3 linked regions of the Stegostoma tigrinum genome follow. The protein of the gene in region 1 interacts with the protein of each later gene in a biochemical or structural test. Links are inferred from orthologs where the notes say so. Each region holds a gene or a part of one and is shown in the gene's direction. Other genes may lie near its edges. The genes, in order: serine/threonine-protein kinase OSR1-like, wnk4a and wnk1b.

Region 1 (7,646 bases):
AAAGATTCCTAATCTTCGTTCTAAATTGTCATCCCTTCAATCAGAAGTTGTGCCCTCGTTTCCTAGCCTTTCCTACTCGGGTTTGTCCACGTCCACTATCGAAGTCTCTCAGTATTCTGTAAGGTTTAGCCAGATCCCCTCACATCCTTCTAAAATCCAACCGCTCCTCATGTGACAAACCTTTTCTAGAGTTATACAGCACAGAAACACATCCTTTGGTTCAACTCGTCCTTTGTTGACCTGATATTCTAAATTAAACCAGTCCCATTTGCCAGCATTTGACCCATATTCCTCTAAACCCCTCCTATTCATATAGGTATCCAGATGCCTCTTAAATGTTATAATTTTATCAACCTCCACCACTTCCTCTGGCAGCTCGTTCCACACATGTATCGCCCTCCGCACGAAACAGTTGCCCCTTAGGTTCTTTATATAGCTTTCTCCTCTCGCCTGAAACCTGCCATCTTCACCCTGGGATAATTCCTGTAAAACTCCTCTGGACCCCCTCCATCAACAGCTCATGCTTTCTTAGATACAGGGCTCACAACCTGACCACAGCCTTATAAAGCTTCAGTCGTACATCACTGCTCTTGTACTCTCGCCGTCTTGAAATGAATGCCAACATTACATTTGCCATCCTCACTGCCAAATGAGCCTGCATATAAATATTAAGAGAATCTTGAACGACAGATCCCAAGTGCCTTTGCGTTTCAAATTTCCAAAGCCTTACCCCATTTAGAAAATAGTATTTGCTTCTATTCTTCCTACCAAAGTGGATAACCTCACATTTTCCCACAATGTATTCCAACTGCTTCTACTTTGCCCACTCTTCTAGCTTGTCCAAATTTTCTGCTGCCCTCCTGCTTCCTCAACACTACCCGCCTCCCCAGCTCCTACCCACCCCTCCCTCCCTCCTCATCTGACCCAATCTCCCTCACCCCACAACTCCACGCTCCACCCCACCCCAAACACTATCTTCCCAACCCCATCCACCCCTCCTCCACTCACAACCTCCTCCATCCCCAGCCCTGCCCTCCCACATCCCCCTCTCCACATGCCCCCCCATACCCTCAAAGGGCAGGACTATATGCTGAGAGGAGACTTTTGGGCATGTTAACTGAGGTTATTTGGATAGGTCAACTGAGTGGACAGATTCAATACAACATTGCTAAATGGGAACTTAACACACTTCAGTGGAAAAACAGAAAGGAAAGAAATTATTTCAATCTTTGGGAAGTGGAGATGTACAAAGGGGTCTAGGTATTCTGGTACTCTAGTTAATCAAAACAGACTGACAGGTACAGCAAGTAATTAGAAAGGCAAATAGTACATTGACCTTCACAGCAAAGGTTTGGAGTTCAGAAGTAGGGATACCTTAGTGCAGTTTTGCAGGGCCTTAGCAAGACGATACCTGCAATACTGTAGATAACAAGTGTACAGCTGGATGAACACAGCAGGCCAAGCAGCATCAGAGGAGCAGGAAGGCTGATGTTTCGGGCCTAAACCCTTCTTCAAAAATGGGGAGGGGAAGGGGGTTCTGAAATAGATAGGGAGAGGGGAGGAGGCGGATAGAGGATGGATAGAGAAGATTGGTGGAGAGGAGACAGACAGCTCAAAGATGCGGGGATGGAGCCAGTAAAGGTGAGTGTAGGTGGGGATTTAGAGAGGAGATAGGTCAGTCCAGGGAGGACAAACTGTCAAGGGGATGGGATGAGGTTCTTCTTCTGAGCAATAAGCTTTTATTTCTTTTGTTAAAAATACATTGGTAACCTCTCGTGAACTTGTTGAGTGATTGACTTCCATGGTAAATGAAAAAAAAAAGTGGTGTATACCTAGATTTCTCTCCAGGATCTGACTTGTCCAGTTTTGACATTAGCTGGGATTATAACATCGCGGAGGTTATCAGCAGGTTAGCTGAGGCAGAAGCAGAATGAGAGCCACATGGTGTATTGACGGTAAAAGTTGGCAGTCGGGATGAAGCAGATGAATGGATAGAAGCTCATGTCATGATAAAATATGATACAGAGGTTTTACAAACAGCCAAATGCAGTCTGTGACACTATTCAGGAATAGCTTGTGGCAGAAGTAAAATTTTACTAATTACAGGAAATTAATGCTTATATTGTACAGGGTATTGAGCAAGATCTGTAATTGAACCAAATAAGGAGATTCAAGAGGGGGTTGACTAGAATCTTGGCCAGATGTAGGTACTGAGCAATGTTTTAACAAAGGAGACAGTGTGAAAAGTACAGAGATTTAGGAGGAGAATTCCAGAGATTAGCACCTACAGCTGATTAAATAGCTGCCAATGGGAAAATCAGTGAATGTAAAATGAAGCCAAAATTTGAGGAAGAGACTGTGGCCAGAAAAATTGCAAGGACACAAAGGGATCAGGGCACAGAGGGAATGGGAACTGCAGATGCTGGAGAATCCAAGATAATAAAGTGTGAAGCTGGATGAACACAACAGGATAAGCAGCACCTCAGGAGCACAAAAGCTGACGTTTTGGGCCTAAACGTCAGCTTTTGTGGTCCTGAGGTGCTGCTTGGCCTGCTGTGTTCATCCAGCTTCACACTTTATTATCCAGGGTACAGACGGATTTGGATTTGAATATGATTAAGAAATTTGAATTTGATGTATATCTGCTTGGACACCAATGTAAATCAGTAGAGTAACAGACCAACTGGACCCGGAGCAAGTTAAGATTCAGGCAGTAGAACTTTGGATAGATTCAAGTTACCAAAGGTGAACACTAAGATTTTAGTCAGGACCGTGCTGGTTAGATTTATGTAACTTACCCACATGTAACTTTTTCTTGTGAGTACAGACTATACACCTTCCTTAAGTACAACACTAAGAACTAAATGTTGCACTCTAGATGGGCAGCAGGTCAAGGTTTTGTACAACCGAAGTCTCTTTCTCCTCCTTGTACTGTTGCTCACTTGAAGTAAAGGTCAGCTTTGTTTATACTGAAAACTGTTTTTATTTAAAAATTCCAGCTTCCACAGTATTTTGTTTTTTCACTTGTTTGTGATGTGGAGAAGCAGTGTGATTTAAATGTGAATCATTTAAATCACACTGCTTCTCCACACTGTCTAGTCTTTTATCATTAAAAACACAACTTGATTATTTTTTGATAGATCTGAAGCATGTATCACGTGTTTCCCTTAACTTCATTGCATCTACAATAGGTCAACCCACTCATGTGGTCAGCATCTCGTTGTAAATTCCACTTTTACACATACAATCTACTGAGCCATCTGTAAATTTGGATTTACAATACATTAATTCAAAACATTGATAAAATTGTTAACATGTTCAGGCCTGTAGGATAAACTCATGTGAAATGATACTTGTCATTTCTTTCAACCAAAGAAATCAAATAGCCACCTTTACTTTTTGTCTCCAGCCTTCCAACTAATTACCAATCCATATTGATAAGGCACACTGATTTTTGCTAACGAACTGTTCCTGTTGGACTTCACAAAAAGCCCTGTGGAAGTCTATGTAGACCTTGTTCTTTGCAGCAAACACCTCAAAAAATTCCAGAGTAAGAATTTTGAATGAGAGTTTGAAGTGGGTTGTGGAGAAGATCAGAGACCAAACAGGATTACACTGATGAGAGTTCCTTTGGATGTGTTGGAGCCTAGGGAAAGCAGCTTCTTCATGACCAGGTGTGTAAAAGGTAACATAAATACAAACTATTTTTGAATTAATGCTGTCTTACCTATTTATTCAGAAAGATTACATCTCCTCTGGGCAATGTTGCTGGAATACTGGTCAGGCTAAATATTTTTAAAAGTACAAGTAGTAACTGATCAGTATATTTTAAAATTATATTCGAAGATTATTAGTTTAGAGTTTCGACTGTACAAGAGCAAAAGGTCTTGGCATAAATCAAATTAACCCACTGCTATAATAAAAAGTCGGAAGTGCCAGAAATGGAAATGTGGAATTTAAACTGAAAACTCTTATAAACACAAAACAGCGAATTATAGAAAGACAGAGACTTGTATATGTGAAGGGGGGTGCGAGTTAAGGTTAGTAAACAGAATCGAGTAACGAGAACCAAGGGAAGTGCACCGACCTGTTCTACTTACAGATGCTGACAGACCAGCATCAACATTGCTGAGATAACACGGTGTCGAGCTGGATGAACACAGCAGGCCAAGCAGCAGCCGACGAGCAGGAAAGCTGACCCTTAAAGGGTCTAGGCCCGAAACGTCAGCTTGGCCTGCTGTGTTCATCCAGCTCTACACCTTGTTATCTTAAATTCTCCAGCATCTGCAATTCCTACTGTCTCCTTTGACATTGCCGATTGCTGCAATGTGCGACCCTCTGGCCAACCGATGGGGCCCAACGTAACAGAAAAAGGGGGGGGTAACGTCAATCATATTATTCACTTACGTCTCGACGTGCTGACGCCGTCACGCGCACAAGGCGAACGGCTGGAGTCTCAGAGTCAACCCCCCGCCTTTACCAGTCTTGGATCCCCTCCCATCACCGCTGGGGACGGCAGTGCGTCGCGCCGTTACCGTCACCATTGATGGACAGCGTACTTGGCCAATAGATTCTAGGCAACGGGAGGGGCGGGTATCGAGGATGTCGAATGAGAGCTGGGAAGGGTGGCGGTTGGGAGGCATGGTAACTCCAGCTGGTGGCAAAGTTTGCGGATTGGAAGTATTTTGTGTCTGTGCGAAAGACCGAGAGTAGTCGAGAAGGTAGGAGAGGAGAGTGATTTGATTCTGCAGTGTAGGCCAGTAGTTTTCTCTTCAGTTAGGAGAAGTATAACTTTGTTTCAGTAAGCGAAATAAAGACCCAGCATAATAGAACAACCTAAAATAGAGTGAAGTAGGAAGCGCGGAGGCTGCAGCTTCGTTCGCAATGTCCGAGGATCCCAGCTCCTTGCCCTGGTCCATCATCAGGGAGGATTATGAACTCAAAGAGGTGATTGGTAAGTTGTTGGAAACGCAGCTTTCTTTGTTCATTTTTGTTTTTCGCAAGGTTGAAAAGGATATACTTTAGCAGACAGGATGTGCATGCAATGGGTGTAGTTGCAGCCACTCGGAATAGGCCTCTGGTCATCCTGCAGCAATAATAAAAGCCTTGAAGCTGTTGTATATTTGCAGTTTTTTTGTTTCAGTTTGTATTTTTTTAGCGTTTTCTTTTGCTGCACTTCAATTTTTGTTTTTGAAAAAGACTAAATGAAGAAACAGCTGACTGCACTTGAGGGAGAGGCCTACTGCATCTAGTTTTTTTTGTTTAATAATTTATTCGTCTATCAAATAGACTAGTACAGTATGGTGGGGGCTATGTCCAAAGGAATAGGCCGACTTTTCTATGTTATAGTTTTTATACTGAATTCTCTGTTCATACTCAATAAAATAGACCTGCCACGAATCAATCGGGAACCTTGCCCATAGGAAGAACGAAATGCAGTGTGTTTAAAAATCTATAAATCGTCTTTAACGATACACTCAATGCCACGTTATTAAATCAGCTGACTAACCCTTAAACAAATGCCTGCAAGTTAATGAATAGGCCATTTTGTAAAAAGAGGATCTATACTTGGTATGATAGCATGGAGTAATTAGTTTGACAGATGTGTGGATTTTTATATTGTTTGTGATGTTTTCATGAAGCTAGCTTCACTGGAGCATGCGAACGATCCAGCGTAGCCCCATTTTTTAATGTTCGAAATGCAGTGTTAAATTCGTCGCTAATTTTTGTTTCAAAATTAATACCAATAGAGGGAAGTCTATCTATCTTTTCAGTTCCAACAAGAAAGTTTTTAAAATTCAAAGCCAGCTAAAATTACTATAATACTGTACTATGCAATAGTTATTAACTAGAGGCAGTGAACAATGGTTATCCTCGTGTAACTCGTCCATGATTTCCCCAGTGATGTTTTGAAAGTGTCAGGAGGAATGCAGGTGCCCTGACGGAAGTGGGGGTCATGTTTGGTACCTTGTTGATCTTGAATTTTGCATCTTGGAAAGAGACTCAATCTCTGGAAACAGGCACATTGCTGCTTGGATTATTGTTTGGACTGAGTTCACTTCTTGTTGGGCTACTGCTGGTAGTATGGATTGAGCTGAGGAAAGGCATGGGGAAGAGGGTGGGTTGAATACTGAGGAGATAAATTGCAGTATTATACTTTGTTTCTGGCCTTCCAATAATTTTCATGCTGTTAAGCAGTAACATAAGTACCTCAATTGTAAACAACTTGTATATAGCTTGTGTCTTTTAATTTTGAGAAGTGCCATTACCAAGGTGGGGAAAAATAGAAGTGAACTCTAGATGCAGGATGTATAATACTTATTGTATGCATTTTATCATTTTTATAAAAATGGGGCAGGATAGTGTGTGAAACTTGCAGCTTCTAAGATGATGCTCCCACTACCAAACTTAGTATTCGTAAAGATCATTTTGTACACAGACGCTATTAGAATTAAAGTGAATTGTAGAAGCATGATTTTTCCATACAACTGAGTTATTCATAACTTTAGAATGTTGAAGTGGATCAGAGGGCTTTTTCTACTGATTTTTTTTAATCTCTCTCCACTTTAAGCTTCCATTTCATCTGATTGTTGTGAGAAGAGGGTGTGTGAGGAAAGAGTTTGGTGATCTTGAGCTCTGCCACTACTGGTTTCTGTCATTTGGTTAGCGTGTCAAAATCAGTGATGGCTTCTGCTGTTATACAGTGACTTGGTGAGACCATACCTGGAGAAATGTGGTCTCCTCTCCTAAGGAAGGATATCCTGGCTATCGGGGCTGGGTGTGCAGTGAAGGCCGACTAGACTGATCGCTGGGATGGGAGGATTGATGTATGAAGAGAAATTGGATTGGCTAGGACTGTATTCACTGGAGTTAAGAAGAATAAGTAGTGATCTCTTGGAAAGCTATAAAATTCTAACCGGACTAGGCAGTCTGAATGCAGGGATGAGATTCCTGATGAGCAGGAAGTCCAGAGCCAGAGGTCACGTTCACAGAGGATTTGAAGTAGACCTTATGACTGAGATGAGAAATTACTTCACCCAGTTAGTATTCAGCCTGTGGAATTCTTTGCCACAAAGTGGTTGAGGTCAAAACATCTGCTCCTGAGATGCTGCTTGGCCTGCTGTGTTCATCCAGCTCCACATTTTGTTATCTTGGATTCTCCAGCATCTGCAGTTCCCATTATCTCTTGAGGTCAAAACATCAAATGTTTCTGAGGAGATTGGTACACTTCTTAGGGTGAAAGGGATTAAAGGGTACAGAGAAAGTGAGATTGGGCTATTGAGTTGGATGGTCAGCTATAGTCATATTGCATGAATCCCAGAAGAGCCCAATGGTGGCTACTCGTATTTTCAGTTTGTGTGTTTATCTCTTACGTTGGCTTTTTTAAAAAAATGACTACTGTAAGTAATTGAAGGTGCACTTTTCGTTTCATTTCAATCTATCAAGGAAGTTTGGAAAGTTGCATATCTTGCACATGAAGGTAAAGTCAAGGGAAGTGCCTTCCTTTCAAACTCTTAATACTGAGGTGGTTAATTGGCAGACATTTTGAGACTGGTTACCTGCACAGACTTATTGATATTAGGAGGTAGAGAATCTTATAGGTGAAATGTCTTCACCAAATTCATTGGTGGTATTTTAAGTTTGGG
Region 2 (7,738 bases), on another chromosome or scaffold:
ATTCTGCATAGGAAACAAACCCAGATTTTCTGATTTTCTCTGGATTCCCTCATCCCTGGAACTATTCTTGAAAATCTACATGCTCTCAAAACCTTAATAAACTTCCTAAAAACTAAGTGATCGGAAATTAATGCAATAATCCAGTTGTGGTCAAATCTCAATTTAGAAAGCGAAGGAACTGCGGATGCTGCTAATCAAAAACAGAAGTTACTGGAAAAGCTTGACAGGGCTGGCAGCATCTGTGAAGAAAAATCAGAGTTAACATTTCGGGTCCGGTCTGACCCTTCCTCAGAATTGACGTATAATCTTCACTTTTCCATTCCTCCAAGTTTAATACAGTTGAAAAATTTTGAAATTTTTCTTTATATTCTAATATTCAAGTCAAAAAGGGTGTCAGTTGGCTAAACGGATGGTTTATATATAGAGTGACACTAACAGCATGGGTCCATATCCTGTGCTGACATCACCATGCAGGTCTTAGCTTCTCAACCTCTCCACTTACCTGAGGCATAGTTATTCCCCGGGTAAACCACCATCAGTCATGTCTCTCTTCAATCTAATAAGGGAGTGGTCCGCTGGGACTATTGTGACTTTATAGATCAAAAACAGGGTGGTCTTAACACTGACTCTCGATAAACATTATTATCTACCATCCTCTAGGATGATAAACATCAGTTTGCCGTGACTTATTTATGCTGTCCTTAAGCCAAATGCTTAACCAAACTGATACTGGTTCTCTTAACCAATGAAGTTTTATGGGGTACTTTGTAAAAAGCTTTCTTAAAATCCATGTGGACAACATTTTTGTAACGTTGCATTCAATTCTGGTCTCCCACCTATAGGAAAGATGTTGTGAAACTTGAAAGGATTCAGAAAAGATTTACAAGGATGTTGCCGGGATTGGAGGGCTTGAGCTATAGGGAGAGACTGAATTGGCTGGGGCTATTTTCCCTGGAATGTTGAAGGCTGAGGGGTGACCTTATAGCAGTTTATAAAATCATGAGCTGCATGGATAGGGTGAACAGCCAAGGTCTTTTCCCCAGGGTAGGGGAGGCCTAAACTAGAGAGCATAGGTTGAAGGTGAGAGGGGTAGGACTTAAAAGGGACCTAAAGCTAACTTTTTCCTGCAGAGGGTGGTGCGTGTATGGAATGAGCTGCCAGAGGAAGTGGTGGAAGCTGGTACAATTACAACATTTAAAAGGCATCTGGATGGGTACATGGATAGGAAGGGTTGAGAGGGACATGGAACAAATGCTGGCAAATGGGACTAGATTAATTTAGGATATCTAGTCAGTATGGACAGTTTGGACGAAAGGTTCTGTTTCAAGCTGTACATCTCTATGAACCTACGACTCTATAACGTCCACAGCAATCTCACTAACAAATATTTCTCTACTTCATCAAAAAAGTCAATTAGATTAGTCAAGTACAATATGCTATTCATAAATCAGTGCTGACTGTCTTTGGTTAACTTTAACTTCTTCAAGTGCCAATTCAATTTTCCTTTAGATTATTGTTTTTAAAATCATACTCACAAGTGATTTAAACTGACTCGTCACTGGGAATGTTCTTACACACTTTACACAAAGGCTATCACATTTGCGACACTAATCTTCTGGCACATCTGGGTAAGTTTGGAAAATTATGACGAGCCTGTTCACTATCACCATTCTTGCTTTCTTTAGCAATCTGGGATGTCAGCCATCCAAACTGAGTGACATATTTTCTACCAACATAGTCAGTCTTTCCAGTGCATCCTGGCCATTCATTGTCTATTGGTATTCTTTAAGAATCCTTTGTAAATAGCAATAGAAAATATTCATCAATAACCTCAATTTTCCTTGTCACTCTAAGCAAACTCCGCAATCTTTATCCCTAACAGACCAACATAATTTCTTACTCAAAAATAGACTTTGCTGGAAAAGTTCAGCAGGTCTGGCAGCATCTGTGGACAGAAATCAGAGTTAGCCTTTTAGGTCCAGTGACCTTCCTGTTTATTTTATGATGGTGGAGATAGAATCCAAAGACAGAGAACAATAGGTGGACAAACAGCAGGCTGGAAGAACACAGCAAGCCAGACAGCAATGGGAGGAAAGGAGCAGTTAATGTTTTGGATATCACCCTTCTTCAGGACTGGAGTCTTGAAGAAGGATAATATCTGAAACATTGACTGTTCCTTTTTTCCAGATGCTGCCTGACCTGCTGTGTTCTTCCAGCCTCCTGCCTGTAATCTGCAGTTTCTTCGTCTCTAAGAGAGAAGAACAGTTGGACAGAGAAAGGAGTAGAGATGATCGGTCTAGGAGAAAGAATAATTACTAATGAGAACAATTAGCGTCGAACAATGGTTGCATGTCATAGCAGACCATGTGATAACAAGGCTGGTGTGTAGCAGTAGGAGTAAGGACATGGGAGAACGTGCCTCATACATTAAAGTTGTTGAACTCAATATTGAGTTCAGAAGGCCATAGCGTTCCCAAACAGAAAGTGAAGTGCTGTTCTTCCGGCTTGCACTGAGCTTCGCTGGAGCGCTGCAATAAGCCTGAGACAGAGATGTTGGCCAGGGAACTAGATAGTATGTTGAAGTGACAGGCAACTGGAAGCTGAGGGTGTTTTTGCAGACAGAACATAGGTGTTCTGTGAAGCAGCCACTCAGTCTACGCTTCATTCCCCCAATGTAGAGGAGACCTCTTCATTTTATTAGTTATTACTATTCACATGCCAGAAGATGATTTTTGGGTTCTCTTTAATGTTGACTGCCATTGTATTCTCAAGTGTATCTGAAGTGAAGCAGATTTGCTGCTGTCCTGAACAATATTCTTCTCTCAAATGCCACTACCAAAACCAGACAAACTATCAACTCCACTTACCGTCTGAAATTAATTATGATTAACTAATTACTGCCTGGCAGTAACGATAGTGACTGCATTTCAAAGTTAATCATTAACTTTTGAGCTTATTGGTTGATCCTGACGATTTGTTGAGGTGATATTCACGCATGAATCTTTTATCTTAAAGCTGGTTCAGTCATAAGTTATAATTCTGTAAAGTTGAAATCAGGGTGACTAGTTTATAGTAAAAACTGAAAGAACTGTGAATGCTGTAAATCAGGAACAAAGACAAAGTTGCTGGAAAAGCCCAGTAGATCTGGCAGCATCACTGAAGGAAACAAACAGAATTAACACTTCAGTTCGGGGACCCTTCCTCAGAACATTAGTTTACAGTGTTTGAATAAGTCAGAATTTTAGTTTGATTGCCAGTTTTAAGTTTCATTGTTCTTCCCAATTTTATCCACTTTTCCATGCATTTGGAAAACCAATGGTCTCCAATACTATCTTCATGACTTATACACTATATGACATGGAAGAACAAGTACATTCTCCCAGTTTAAAACTATTTGCACAAATCCATTGAGATAACAAGGTGTAGAGCTGGATGAACACAGCAGGCCAAGCAGCATCGGAGGAGCAGCAAAGTTGATGTTTCGGGCCTAGATCCTTCAGTCTAGGCCCGAAACATCAGCTTTCTTGCTCCTCTGATGTTGCTTGGCCTGCTGTATTCATCCAGCTTTACACCTTGTTATCTCAGATTCTCCAGCATCTGCAGTTCCTATTATCTCTGCACAAATCCTTTAATCATTAGTGTCTGCTTATACTTTTTGTGTCCAATAGATGTAGGCACCAACCCTCTCAATTGTTGGGTAATAGGAGTCCATACAACAGAAGAGCCCCCAACACCCTGCTCCATTAGATTCTAATCACCTTCCGCTATCAACAAGGGGCTCTTGCGGTGCACAGTGTCCCAACCTCTGGGCCAGGAGGTCTGTTTTTTTCTGCTCCAGAGGTCTGTAATCACATCACTTTGTAGGTTAGTCATAAAACTTGCTCTGCTATAAACATTCCCACTTAGACTGGAAAACAGTGTTTATTGAGATCCACTATGTTCTGGATGTGAGTTTGCTCGCTGAGCTGGAAGGTTAGTTTCCAGCTCAGCGAGCAAACTCACATCCAGAAACTCATCCTGAGTTACAAATCTTCTCGAAACTCACTATCCACTATCTTATTCAGTTTAAGTCACTAATGGTGCAGTGGTGGTGTGTGTACCTCTGAGCCAGGGGCCCAGGTTAGAGTTCTCTCCTGCTCTGAAGAAGGGTGAAGGCCCAAAACTTCAGCCTTCCTGCTCCTCGGATGCTCCTTGGCCTGCTGTGTTCATCCAGCTCTACACCTTGTTATCTCAGATTCTCCAGCATCTGCAGTTCCTACTATCTCGGTGTCATAACAGGTTGGTTGAAATATCAAAGCCTGCTCCATGGAGCTCACAATAAAGACCATCTGGATCATGCTCTATCAGTGATAAGCAGCCTGATCTTACTTCCAGTAACGTCATACCGTCATCCGCCATCCAACAGCAACCCCCCCAACCTCAAGGGAAGAATATGTACACTTCAAACCGCACCCCCCCGATCTGTGTTGTGAGTTGATAGCAGCTCTGCTTCTCATGCTGGAGCCTCTGGCCCGGCTGGAGGACGTGACTGGAACTGAGTGAATGTTGCGCCCGATAAAGGAGAACTTTGTCCATTCAGATCCTGCTGCTTCACACAGTGCCTCTTTCTGGCCGAGTGCCTTTTGAAAAAAAATTCTGAGCGCGCCCAGCTTTAAAGGACGCTTTTCACTCCCTCCGCACTTTGTGTACTGATCTTTCAGCACGTGTGAAAACAGTAGGAATTTAAAGGGATGGTTCAGAGAGAGAGAGAGAGAGAGAAAGAAAGTAAAATTACCTTTCGTTTCCCCCCTGCAATTTGGAGAACCAAGTAAATAAACACTGAACATTACCCCCACCCCGGTTTCAACACGCCCCCATCCAAATTAGCGACAGTCTGCCCTGAGCCAATGGGCGGTGCGGGGACGGTCTGAGAGCAATATCAGGCGTTAGCGGAATTACTGCTGTCTCTAAGCACTTGTCAATTCAAAGTAGAGCCCCTTTTCATTTCCCTCTCTAAGTTACTTTCTATTGCTGATGGGGGGGGAGTGTCTAACAGACTGAAAGGGGCAGGCAAACGAAAGAATAAAAGTAGTGAGGAGGCAAATGTTTTCCGAGGAGCGGCTGGTGCAACATGAAACACGATGATGTTTGTGGTTGAATGTTGTGCTTTTCTTGAGACCGTGTCAGCGAGTCTTTCCTCAAGGGCTTTCCCTTGGGGTTCGAGCGAAGTTTGTTGGAGGTGGTTGAAGCATGTCCAGGACGATGTCCCAGGCGGAGGTGGACCTGGCTAGATTCGGGCTCATTACCTCGACCCTGGATCTGGATTTGGATCGTTCCTCCCACCTCAGTAAAGCGCAGAGCCGGCGGCGGAGAATGCCTGCCAGAGACGGCAGGAGGATCCCGTCCCGGTACCAGAGGAAACTCTCCGTCGACGTCGAGCTGGGAGCTGACGGTCTGCTTGTCCGTCGCCCTTCCCGAACCCTGGTGCCAGTCCCGGATAGCCAGCCCCCGCCGCCCGCTGAGAACGGGCCGCTAAAGGCGGGCGGACCCACTGCCGGCGCCCCGCCGGCTCGCCTGGCGCCCTCGCCGCTCCAAGCTGCTGCTGCTGCTGCTGCGGCGGCGGTGGTCGCGAACAGCTCGGACACGGAGGATGGCAGCCGCCGCTTTCCTCACAAGGACTCGGTTTCCGAGCTGCCCGAGGAGAGTAAGATGGAACCGGAGGAGAACGAGGTGGAGATGAAAGCGGTCGACACCTCCCCCGACGGCAGGTTCCTCAAGTTCAACATCGAGCTGGGAAGAGGTTCCTTCAAGACGGTCTACAAGGGGCTGGATACCGAGACCACGGTGGAGGTCGCCTGGTGCGAGTTACAGGTAAAACGATGCAGAGTCCGCCGGGCCCGTCACATCCCAGGCTGTAAGACCCAGGGATATTGTGTCACTCAGGAAAGCTTAAATACTGTTCAAGAAACTTCCACAACTTGTAAAGTGTTTTTTTTTGTCAAAGCATAGTCACCGCAACAACGTAGGGAACGCTGCAGCCAGTTCCTCACAGCAAGCCCCAAGCAGCAGCAATGTTGGCTTTTTCTGTGATTCGAAGTGTAAATATTGGCCAGATTTTCAGGGGCGTTATCCATTTACTGCAGAGGTTTCAAGTCTCATTCAAAGCCTACGGTCACACTAGTCTGAAAATGCCTGATTTTGGAAGCTGTGGCGTGATTAGTACTTGGATGGGAGACTGCATGGGAATATCAGGTGCAATAGGCTTTTGGGGTGGCACAGTGGCTCAGTGGTTAGCACTGCAGCTTCACAGCACCAGCGACCCGGGTTTGATTCCACACTCGGATAACTGTCTGCATGGAGTTTGCACATTCTCCCGGTGTCTACGTGGGTTTCCTCCGGGTGCTCTGGTTTCCTCCCACAGTTCAAAGATGTGCAGGCTAGGTGGATCGGCCATGCTAAATTGCCCATAGTGTTCAGGGATGTGTGGGTTATAGGGGGATGGGTCTGGATGGGATGCTCTGAGTGTCAGTGTGGATTTGTTGGGCTGAACAGCCTGTTTCCAAACTGTAGGGATTTTATGATAAAAGGCTGCAGATGCTGTAAATCAGGAACAAAATCAGAAAATGCTGGAGAAACTCCGCAGCTGCTGAGCTTTACAGCAGTTTCTGTTTTGTACCCTCCACGTTGTGTTGAAGAATCAGCTTTTTAAATTCCAATTATATGGGCTTGAACCCACAAACCACCTGACTCCAAGGTAAATGACCTCAACTGATCCAGACCCAATATCTCATGCCTGACTGTCTTGCAGGAGGATGTCTAATGTTAATTTTCTCTGTGGTTGGTTGCAGCAACTTATTTTTATGCTCTGCTCTGCTATCTCAGCCTAGGCCTTTGTCCTAGGACAGATTTTAAAAGTATATCATGAAGTCAGGAATGCAGTTATTCATGAGTTTGTCAAAAAAAACTGATGTGACAATACAGTACCTGTAACATTGCTCCTCTCTCAGCAATTAAAATATAAAATTTAGAGACATCAGCCGCTTTCATACACACAATTCATCAAGGTAGCTGCTGAAGGGATTGAAAGGTGCTCGTAGTTTCAAGGGACATTGCATCCATCTTGCATCAGCATTTCTAAACTTACATTGATATAACACTGAAGTTAGATCCTGACAAACCAGGGAATTTGTGCAGTATCTCTAAAAATTGCATAATAAATGTACCCTCGGACTGAATCAATGAGTGTAAAGACAAGATAGGCTTAGTCTAAGCTTAACACTGACTTACTTGTTGGTACAAGTATTATAAATTAAGCTTACTTGTCAGTTGGAGGGGCATTTATTGTACAGTGTGTCTGCTGGCTTAGCTGTGTAATCTGGTACATTACACACTTGAGGATTAGGGCATTCTGTTATTAGTTGACATGGGTGGAACATTGGTTAAGAAAGATATTTCCCCAGTTCACTCTGTTTTGTCAATTGCCACCATTGGCATAAGCTTTTATTCTTGTGGTGTGTGGATCTGCTTGTGGTATACTTTGTATTTGTCCTAAAGAACAAAGAACAAAGAAAATTGCAGCACAGGACCAGGCTCTTTGGCCCTCCAAGCCTGCGCTGATCCAGATCCTCTAACTAAACCTGTCTCCTATTTTCTAAGGATCTGTATCCCTCTGCTCCCTGCCCATTTGTGTGCCCACCTCTACCACCTCCGCTGGCAATGTGTTCCAGGCACCCACCACCTTCTGCGTAAAGAACTTTCC
Region 3 (8,017 bases), on another chromosome or scaffold:
CAATCATGATTAACACGGAAAATTAAAAATAGTGATAGATCTAAGGATGGGGCATACAGACTGGCCAAAAAAGTAACAGACCTGAGTATCAGGAGCAGGTTAGATTTCAGCAAAGAAGGACAAAGGGATTAATTAAGATGGGGAATATAGAGTATAAGAGTAAGTTTGCAAGGAATATACAAATTATTTGTAAAACCTTTTATTGATATGTGAAGAGAAAGTATTTCATGAAGACAGATGTAGGTCCCTTAGAGTTAGAAACAGGGAAAGTTATAATGGGGAATAAAGACATGGCAGACCAAGTAAGTACACAGTTTGGGATAGTAGGAACTGCTGATGCTGGAGAATCAGATAACAAGGTGTACCTGCATGAACACAGCAGGCCAAACAGCATCAGAGGAGCAGAAAAACTGATGTTTTGGCCTGCTGTGTTCATCCAACTCTACACCTTGTTATCTAAGTACATATTTTGGTTTTGCTTCAAAGGATGACACAAATTGTGTTCCAAAAATGTTGGGGATCACAAGGTATTGAGAGATGAATGAATTGAAAGAAATCAGTTTTGGTAGGGATAATGGGAACTTCAGATGCTGGAGAATCCGAGATAACAAAGTGTGGAGCTGGATGAACACAGCAAGCCAAGCAGCATCTTAGGAGTACAAAAAGCTGACATTTCGGGCCTAGACTCTTCAAGAAGGGTCTAGGCCCGAAATGTCAGCTTTTGTGCTCCTAAAATGCTGCTAGGCCTGCTGTGTTCATCCAGCTCCACACTTTGTTGTCTTAGGTTTGGTAGGGAAATGGTTTTGGGGAAATTGATAGGATTAAAGGCCAATAAATCCCCAGTGGCTGATAACCTACATCCTACAATACTCAAGGAAGTGGTCCGAGAAATAATGGATGCATTGGTGGTCACCTTTCAAGATTCTATTGGCTCTAGTCTGGAACGGTTTCTAAGAATAAAGTAGCGAATTATAGATCAGTGAGCCTGACATCAATAGTAGAGATAATGCTGGAAAAAATTTAATGGTAAAAAACTTGGAAAATTGTATCAGAATCAGACAAAGTTAGCTGAGATTTATGAAAGGGAAATCATGCTTGATAAATCATATCTACTCATATTTTTTGAAGATGTAACTAGTATAGTTGATAAAGTTGGATTCAGTAGATGTGGTTTACTTGGATTTTCAAAATGTTTTCGATAAGGTTCCCCATAAGAGATTAGCATGTAAAATTAAAGCATGTGGGATTGAGGCTAATGCATTGACATGGATAGAGAACTGGCTGACAGACAGGAAACAAAGAATAGGAATAAACCTTTTCTGAGTTGCAGGTGGTGACGAGTGGGGTACCACAGGGATCAGTGCTTGGGCTCCACCTATTTACAATATACATTAAATATTTAGATGAGGCAACTAACCGTAAGAGGTGTTGAACTATGAGAAGGATGCTGAAATGCATCAGCGCGATTTGGGTAAATTGAGCAAGTAGATGAAGTACTGTGTGGATAAATGTGAGGTTGCACTTTGGTACCAAAAAAAAGGACAGTTTATTATCTAAACGGTAATATATTTAAAAAGGGGGAAGGTGCATCAAAACCTGTGTGTACCTGTACACCAGTTGCTTAAAGTAAGCATGCAGCTGCAGCAGGTGTCAAAGAAGGCAACTTGTATGTCAGCCTTTGCAACAAGCGGGTTTAAAAACAGGAGCGTGAATGTCTTGCTGCAATTGTATGGAACACTGGCAAACTATACCTTGAGAAGTAGGTGTGCAGTTTTGGTTTTCTTAACTGAGGAAGAATGTTCTGGCTACGGAGGCAGCACAACAAATGTTCACCAGACTGATTCCTGGCATGGCAGGACTGATAGTATGAACAGAGAATGGATCAGTTAGGACAATATTCACTGGAGATTAGAAGAATGATGGGGAGGGAGATCTCATTTAAATCTATGAAATTCAAATAGGATTTGACATAGTAAACAGTGCAAAGGATAAGCTGAAGCATTCGCTGCAATCTTCAGCCAGAAGTACTGAGCGGATAAACCGTCTCAGCCTCTTTCAATTGTCCCCCAACATCGTAGATATCAGCCTTCAGTCAAGTCAATTCACTCCTTGCGACATCAAGGAACAGTCGTATGCATTGGAAATTGCGAAGTCAAAGGCTCTGACAACATTCCAGCAACAGTACTGAAGACCTGTGCTCCTCAACTTACTGCTCCCCTTGCCAAGTGGTTCAGTACAGTTGCACTGGCATCTAGTTAACAATGTGGAAAATTGTCCAATAACGCCTTATACAAAAAAACTGGCCAACTACCAATCTGTCTGTCTATTCGCAATCATCATTAAGGAGATGGAAGGTGTCACCAACTATCAAGCAGCACTGTTCAGCAATAACTTGCTCAGTGATGCCTGGTTTAGGTTTTGCCAGGGCCACTCAGATCCTGACCTCATTACAGCCTTCATTCAAATACGGACAAAGAACTGAATTTCAGAGTGGAGGTGAGAGTGACAGCCCTTGAGAAGTATGCTGCATTTGAATGACTGTGGCATTAAGGAGCCCTAGCAAAACTGGGATCAATAGGTATCACAGGGCAAACTCTCCGCTGGGTGGAGTCACATTTCGCACACAGGAAGATGACTGTTGATGCTGGAGATCAGTCATCCCATCTGCAGGCCATTTCTGCATGAATTTCTCAGACTAGGCCCAACCATCTTCGGCTGCTTCATCAATGTCATTCCCTGCATCATGAGATCAGAAACGTGAATGTTTACAGATGACTGCACAATATTCAACACCATTTATGACTCCTCAGATACAGGAGCAGTCCGTGCACAAATGTAACAAGATCTGGACAATATCCAGACTTGGGCTGACAAATGGCAAGTAACATTTGCACCTTGAAAATGCCAGACAGTGATTTTCTCCAATAAGAGATAATCAAACAACTACCCCTTGACATTCAATGGTGTTACCATCACCAAATCGCTTTCTCCTTATCAACATCCTTGGGGTAACCACTGATTGGAAACAGAACCGGGCTCATTACATAAACACAAGAGGTTAGGGGCTATAGGTGCGGGGAATAATTCAGCTCATGACTCCCTAAATCCTATCTACCATCTACAAGGTTTAAGAAATGAGTGTGATGGAATATTCCCCACTTGCCTGATAGGTGCAGTTCCAACAACACTCAAAAAGCTTGACACCATTCAGGCCAAAGCAGCCCATTTGATTGGCATCACATCCACTAGCATCTGCTCCCTCCACAACTTAAATTCAGTAGCAGCAGTGGGTACTGTCTACAAGATGCACTCCAGAAATTGATCAAAGATCCTTAGACAGCATCTTCCAAACCCACAACCACCTTCATTTGGAAGGATAAGAGCACCAGATACAAAGCAACACCATCACCTACAAGTTTCCCCTCCAAGCCACTCACCACTGAATCGGAAATGTATTGTCGTTCCTTTGATGTTGCTGGTTCAAAATCCTTGTAGCCCCTCCCTAAGGCTATTATGGGCCATCCCATATCACATGGACAGCTGTGGTTCAAGGTGGCAGCTCACCATCACATTCTCAAAGGCAACTCAGATAGGCAATAAATGCTGGCCAGCCAGCAAGACCCACATCCCACGAGTGAATAAAAGAAAATAATATTTCCAATGTCTGGAGAGTCCAGAACAAGTGGTCACTGCCTAAATATACACGGTTGGTCATTTAGGACTGAGAAGAGGAGAAAGTTCCTCACCCAGACAGCAGTGAACCTGTGGAATTCTATGTCACAAGAAGTGGCTGTGGCCAACACATGCAACGTTTTCAAGGAGTAAAATATAGTTCTTAGGGTTAATGGGGTAAAATGGTATGGGGAGAAAGCAGGAACAAGGTGCTGAGTTGGATGATCAGCCATGATCATATTGAATGGTAGAGTAGGCTTCAAGCCAAATAGCCTACTCCTGCTCATATTTTCAATTTCTCCTTATAAAATATTGGCCTGGTAAAAGGCCATTCATATATCCTCTTAACTAGAAGGTTTACAATTAAAGCAAATTAGTCGATTTTTAAAAAAAATTCTCTTGATCTTACTGCAATGTCTTCACGTACAATTACATTGCAAACATCGTGCTTGCATTCAAGAGCTCGTCCATCGTCGTGTATTTCTGCTGCTGAAAGTTAAAGCTAACCGAAGAAAGCAGCGTAGTCGAACGAAAATGAACGAGCAAATTAGGTTTTCAGAAGGATTTAACTATGTATTTTACTTTGTTCACTATGATGGTGCAATATCCAGTGCGGTAGTTTTAACGAGGCCGAGCAGGTCCTGAATAAACAGAAATTGAAACAGAAATTAATTTTGATGAATTTTACGCACCCAGAATGCTTTTAATCAGCTTCTCATTCTAGATTCTGAACCCTCTCAGTGCGCTGTATGTTAATTCAGATGTATGTTTGTTCTGGAATTACTTACGAAGGTTTTATTTCACTTATATTTCATTTGGAGAATCACCATCCAGGAGAGAATCTATCACGCCACCATGCAACGATGTACGATTTATTGAATTTAAAACCTGTGCATTTCAGAAGGAATGTGCAGTTGGAGAAGATCATTGCCTATTTTAATAAATATAATCTTTTCCGCCTTCAATAACCAAAGCTTCCAAAACCAGCCTCGCCCCCTCCCCTGGTACCCACAGCTCATCCTTTTCCGTCCTCCTATTGTCCATATCACGTGCTCAGCTCAACGCTCCCACAGAGACGCAAAGTGGGCGGAATAAATAAACGCCAACCAACTGAAATGTTCTCGTAGCATGATGGGAACTGTAGTTCCGTTTTTGCGTGTTTCAAATCGAACTATGTGCCAACACTGCTAATTGTAATGGAAAAACTACGTTTCCCAATTGGCTGTGCGGTGGTGTTGCGCATGTGAATGGGTTGCCTTGAGCTCGAGCACTCAGCTTCTCGGAAAGTGCCAGTAAGTGAGTTAGAGGCAGTGTATCCGCCATTTACAGTTGGGAGGAAGAACGTGTCTATTTTCGAGCTGAGAGATTCGCCTGTTTTACCTTCTTTGCCCCCCTCCCCCGTTCTGTGTGGGGGGCCCGGGCTTGGGTCTACGATACTTGTTCGTTAAGGAAACCGGCTGGGCGTATTTTTTATTTGAAAAGTCGATTCCAGTACAAGAGGAAGAGAAGAAGCCGGGATGTTACGTATGTGGACAGCTCTGCAGTGAGCCTCTCCCCCGGCAGATCGACCTTACCCTGGGGTTTTCTATTGTTGCAGCATCCCGGCCTAGTCCATCTGGCAGCCTGCACGTCTGTCGGCTATTTAAATTTTGGTGACTTTTCTTTAAAACCATGGGCATCGCATCCATTTTGAAAGCTTGAAAGAGCAGAACCTTATGGCATCGACGGGGCAGTCGTGGCGTTGTATATTATCTGTGCTTAAAATAAACCGACGCATTTCCATAACCGTGGAATTGTTCTAGTGAGGGAACAGAAACTAGCAGCATCGCTGAAAGGGATTGTTGCGTTGATTGTCCCTTTTTTTGTTCTGGCCGTTTTAAAGTATATTATTTTTGGAGTTAATCCGGGAATAAGGAACTGTTTTGGCTTTGTTTATATCGGTTGGATTTTCATTTTCATTTTAAATTTCTTTATCGCCCTTTTGAGAAATGAAGACTGGATGAAAATTGTTCGAAATTTTTAATTAAGGATGGATGGATCACAACAGATGATCCATGTTTATGTCGCTGCGTTGCAACTGATTGAGTTGGACAATATTGCGTATCTCATTTTTTATATCGGAACGCTTCAGTTCCAGGGACCCGACTGTTTGCGCAAACATAACAGGGAATTATTTTGACTTCTCAAAGAAAATCAGGTTGCATTTGTCTTTACGCGTAATTGGTACTTTTTATTGCATTTCAACCATTTGACCGGCAGTGTGCTTCGCGTTGAAATCTTGTTTGAAGAGAAACCACTGAATTCTTCTGGGGAAGTCTTTTGGGAATTGAGTTTTTGTGGAAATGTCGGAAAACGCAGACAATGTTGGGTCTTTGTTGCGCCCCCCTAAAAATGGTACCAATTCGAGTTCAGATACGACAATAGGGGAGCGTTTTGGAGTAAGTTTGAGAAAAAAAGAAGAGTTTAAGGCTCTTAGGAGGCGGCGACATACTATGGATAAGGACAGCAAAGCAGAGCACCAACGTTTTATCAGGAGAAGTGTGATCTGTGATTCCAACGTTACAGCGTTGGACCATCTGCCCAGTAAGACATGTATTATCGTTTCGCCACCCGAATCGGATAATGCAGCTTCATTAATAAGCAGTATTACTATTAATAACGAAGCGCAACCTCCTGTACAAGCTACGACAGTTGACTCGGTCACTGCGGCAATTCCTGTTTTTGCCGGAGAAAAATGTGAAAAGTGCGTTGATGGCAATACGAAGGATGGAAGCACAGTTGCTGGAATTGGCGATGAACGACCGAGAACTGCTGTTCGTTCGCTCGATGCCGATGTTTGCAACCATGCAGGGACTACAACCAGTAGCAGCAAAGACAGAAAAAAACAAAAATCAGTTCCAATTAAAGAGGAAACCGAGTTGAAAGCTAACGATGATGATAGTTCAGAGAGCAAAGAAGCGGAAGAGGCAAAAAATCAGGAGAGGAAGGCGCAAGAAGATAATGAAGAAATAGAGACTAAGGCTGTGGCAACCTCCCCCGATGGGAGGTTTTTGAAGTTCGATATAGAAATTGGGAGAGGTTCTTTCAAAACCGTCTATAAAGGTCTAGACACAGAAACTACAGTGGAAGTAGCTTGGTGTGAATTGCAGGTAAGTTGTGTATTTTTGTTGTCGGCACGTTTGTCTTCATTGGGAAGACTAGCCACTTCATTTAAATCCTTGTTGCATTAGTATTTGTATTTTCAAAGAAATTTAACTACCAAAGGATAGTTTGATATGAGCTGAATGGCCACCTTCTGCCCTGTATCATTGCTGTGATTCTGAAAGAAGTGGTGTGCAGACCTTAAAATTAAAGGTGGCAATATAATTCATTGACACTTGCCAATTAGAAGCATAATTTAGAATCTGAAAGCTTTTTTTTAGTATTATTAAGGGATTCATTCCCAGGGTACTAACAACTTGTGTCCCATTAAAACCTGCTGTGATTTTTCTTCATTTTGACAACTTCTTGTTCAGGTTTGATATGGTCTTGAACATTGATACCTTTGACCATGAATGCTGAATAAATTTGATATTTCCACAAGAATGATTTTGAATAGAGCTTGCTGGACTATATTTTGAATTGAAAATTGTGTTTTACCTCCCTCTCTCTCCTCCTCATCCTCATTCTCTCACAGCGGGTTGGCATGGTATGAGGTGTTAAGACTGGTGTATTTCTGTCAGAGATAATGGGAACTGCAGATGCTGGCGATTCCAAGACAATAAAATGTGAGGCTGGATGAACACAGCAGGCCAAGCAGCATCCCAGGAGCACAAAAGCCGACGCTTCGGGCCTAGACCCTTCTGTCACCCTGTTTGAAATCAGTATAGGATGACTGGATGTTTGGCTGAGAACTTTCCTATTAGTGTAGCTTAAGTTTGTGTTCTTTTAACTGAATTTGAGTAGAGTTCAAAATGCATGTACCTAGCCCTTCATTGGACGCTTGATTATGTTAGTTTCAATTATGCACCGTTGATTTGACAATCCATGCCATAGATTCTGTTGTGTATATATTTATATTTTTAGGTTATTTTATTTTATACATGTATATGGTGAGAAGTGGCAAAGAGGTTCCTTTTTGTGTAGTTAAAGAAATGTGACAACGTAAAGGCCAGATAACTTGTTTCAGTGACATTGAAGGAAAAGTATTTTCCAGAACAGTGGAGAGAGATCTCATTTTCAAATGCAAGTAGTGACGTGATGTTTTACTACCATCTTGTACCAGAAAGTTTCCATTTGATGCTTTGTTTAAAAGACAATACCTCCCAAGTTGCAGCAAGCTGGCAGTACTGCAGAGGTGTGATTG

What was found.
Region 2: the proteins of serine/threonine-protein kinase OSR1-like (region 1) and wnk4a are reported together in a solved structure, tested with the Homo sapiens proteins (2 studies listed by BioGRID and IntAct, with this or other methods). The link is inferred for Stegostoma tigrinum from reciprocal best matches to the Homo sapiens genes OXSR1 and WNK4.
Region 3: of the proteins of serine/threonine-protein kinase OSR1-like (region 1) and wnk1b, one has a biochemical effect on the other in vitro, tested with the Homo sapiens proteins (2 studies listed by BioGRID and IntAct, with this or other methods). The link is inferred for Stegostoma tigrinum from reciprocal best matches to the Homo sapiens genes OXSR1 and WNK1.

What each region holds. Positions count from the first base shown.
Region 1 is NC_081358.1:99,195,840-99,203,485, reverse strand, and holds the start of serine/threonine-protein kinase OSR1-like, read left to right. Parts: upstream 1-4,619; 5' UTR 4,620-4,884; coding exon 4,885-4,954; intron 4,955-7,646. UniProt on the Homo sapiens protein: Effector serine/threonine-protein kinase component of the WNK-SPAK/OSR1 kinase cascade, which is involved in various processes, such as ion transport, response to hypertonic stress and blood pressure.
Region 2 is NC_081384.1:15,197,919-15,205,656, forward strand, and holds the start of wnk4a (serine/threonine-protein kinase WNK4), read left to right. Parts: upstream 1-4,728; 5' UTR 4,729-5,229; coding exon 5,230-5,850; intron 5,851-7,738. UniProt on the Homo sapiens protein: Serine/threonine-protein kinase component of the WNK4-SPAK/OSR1 kinase cascade, which acts as a key regulator of ion transport in the distal nephron and blood pressure.
Region 3 is NC_081371.1:20,510,097-20,518,113, forward strand, and holds the start of wnk1b (serine/threonine-protein kinase WNK1), read left to right. Parts: upstream 1-4,940; 5' UTR 4,941-6,014; coding exon 6,015-6,821; intron 6,822-8,017. UniProt on the Homo sapiens protein: Serine/threonine-protein kinase component of the WNK1-SPAK/OSR1 kinase cascade, which acts as a key regulator of blood pressure and regulatory volume increase by promoting ion influx.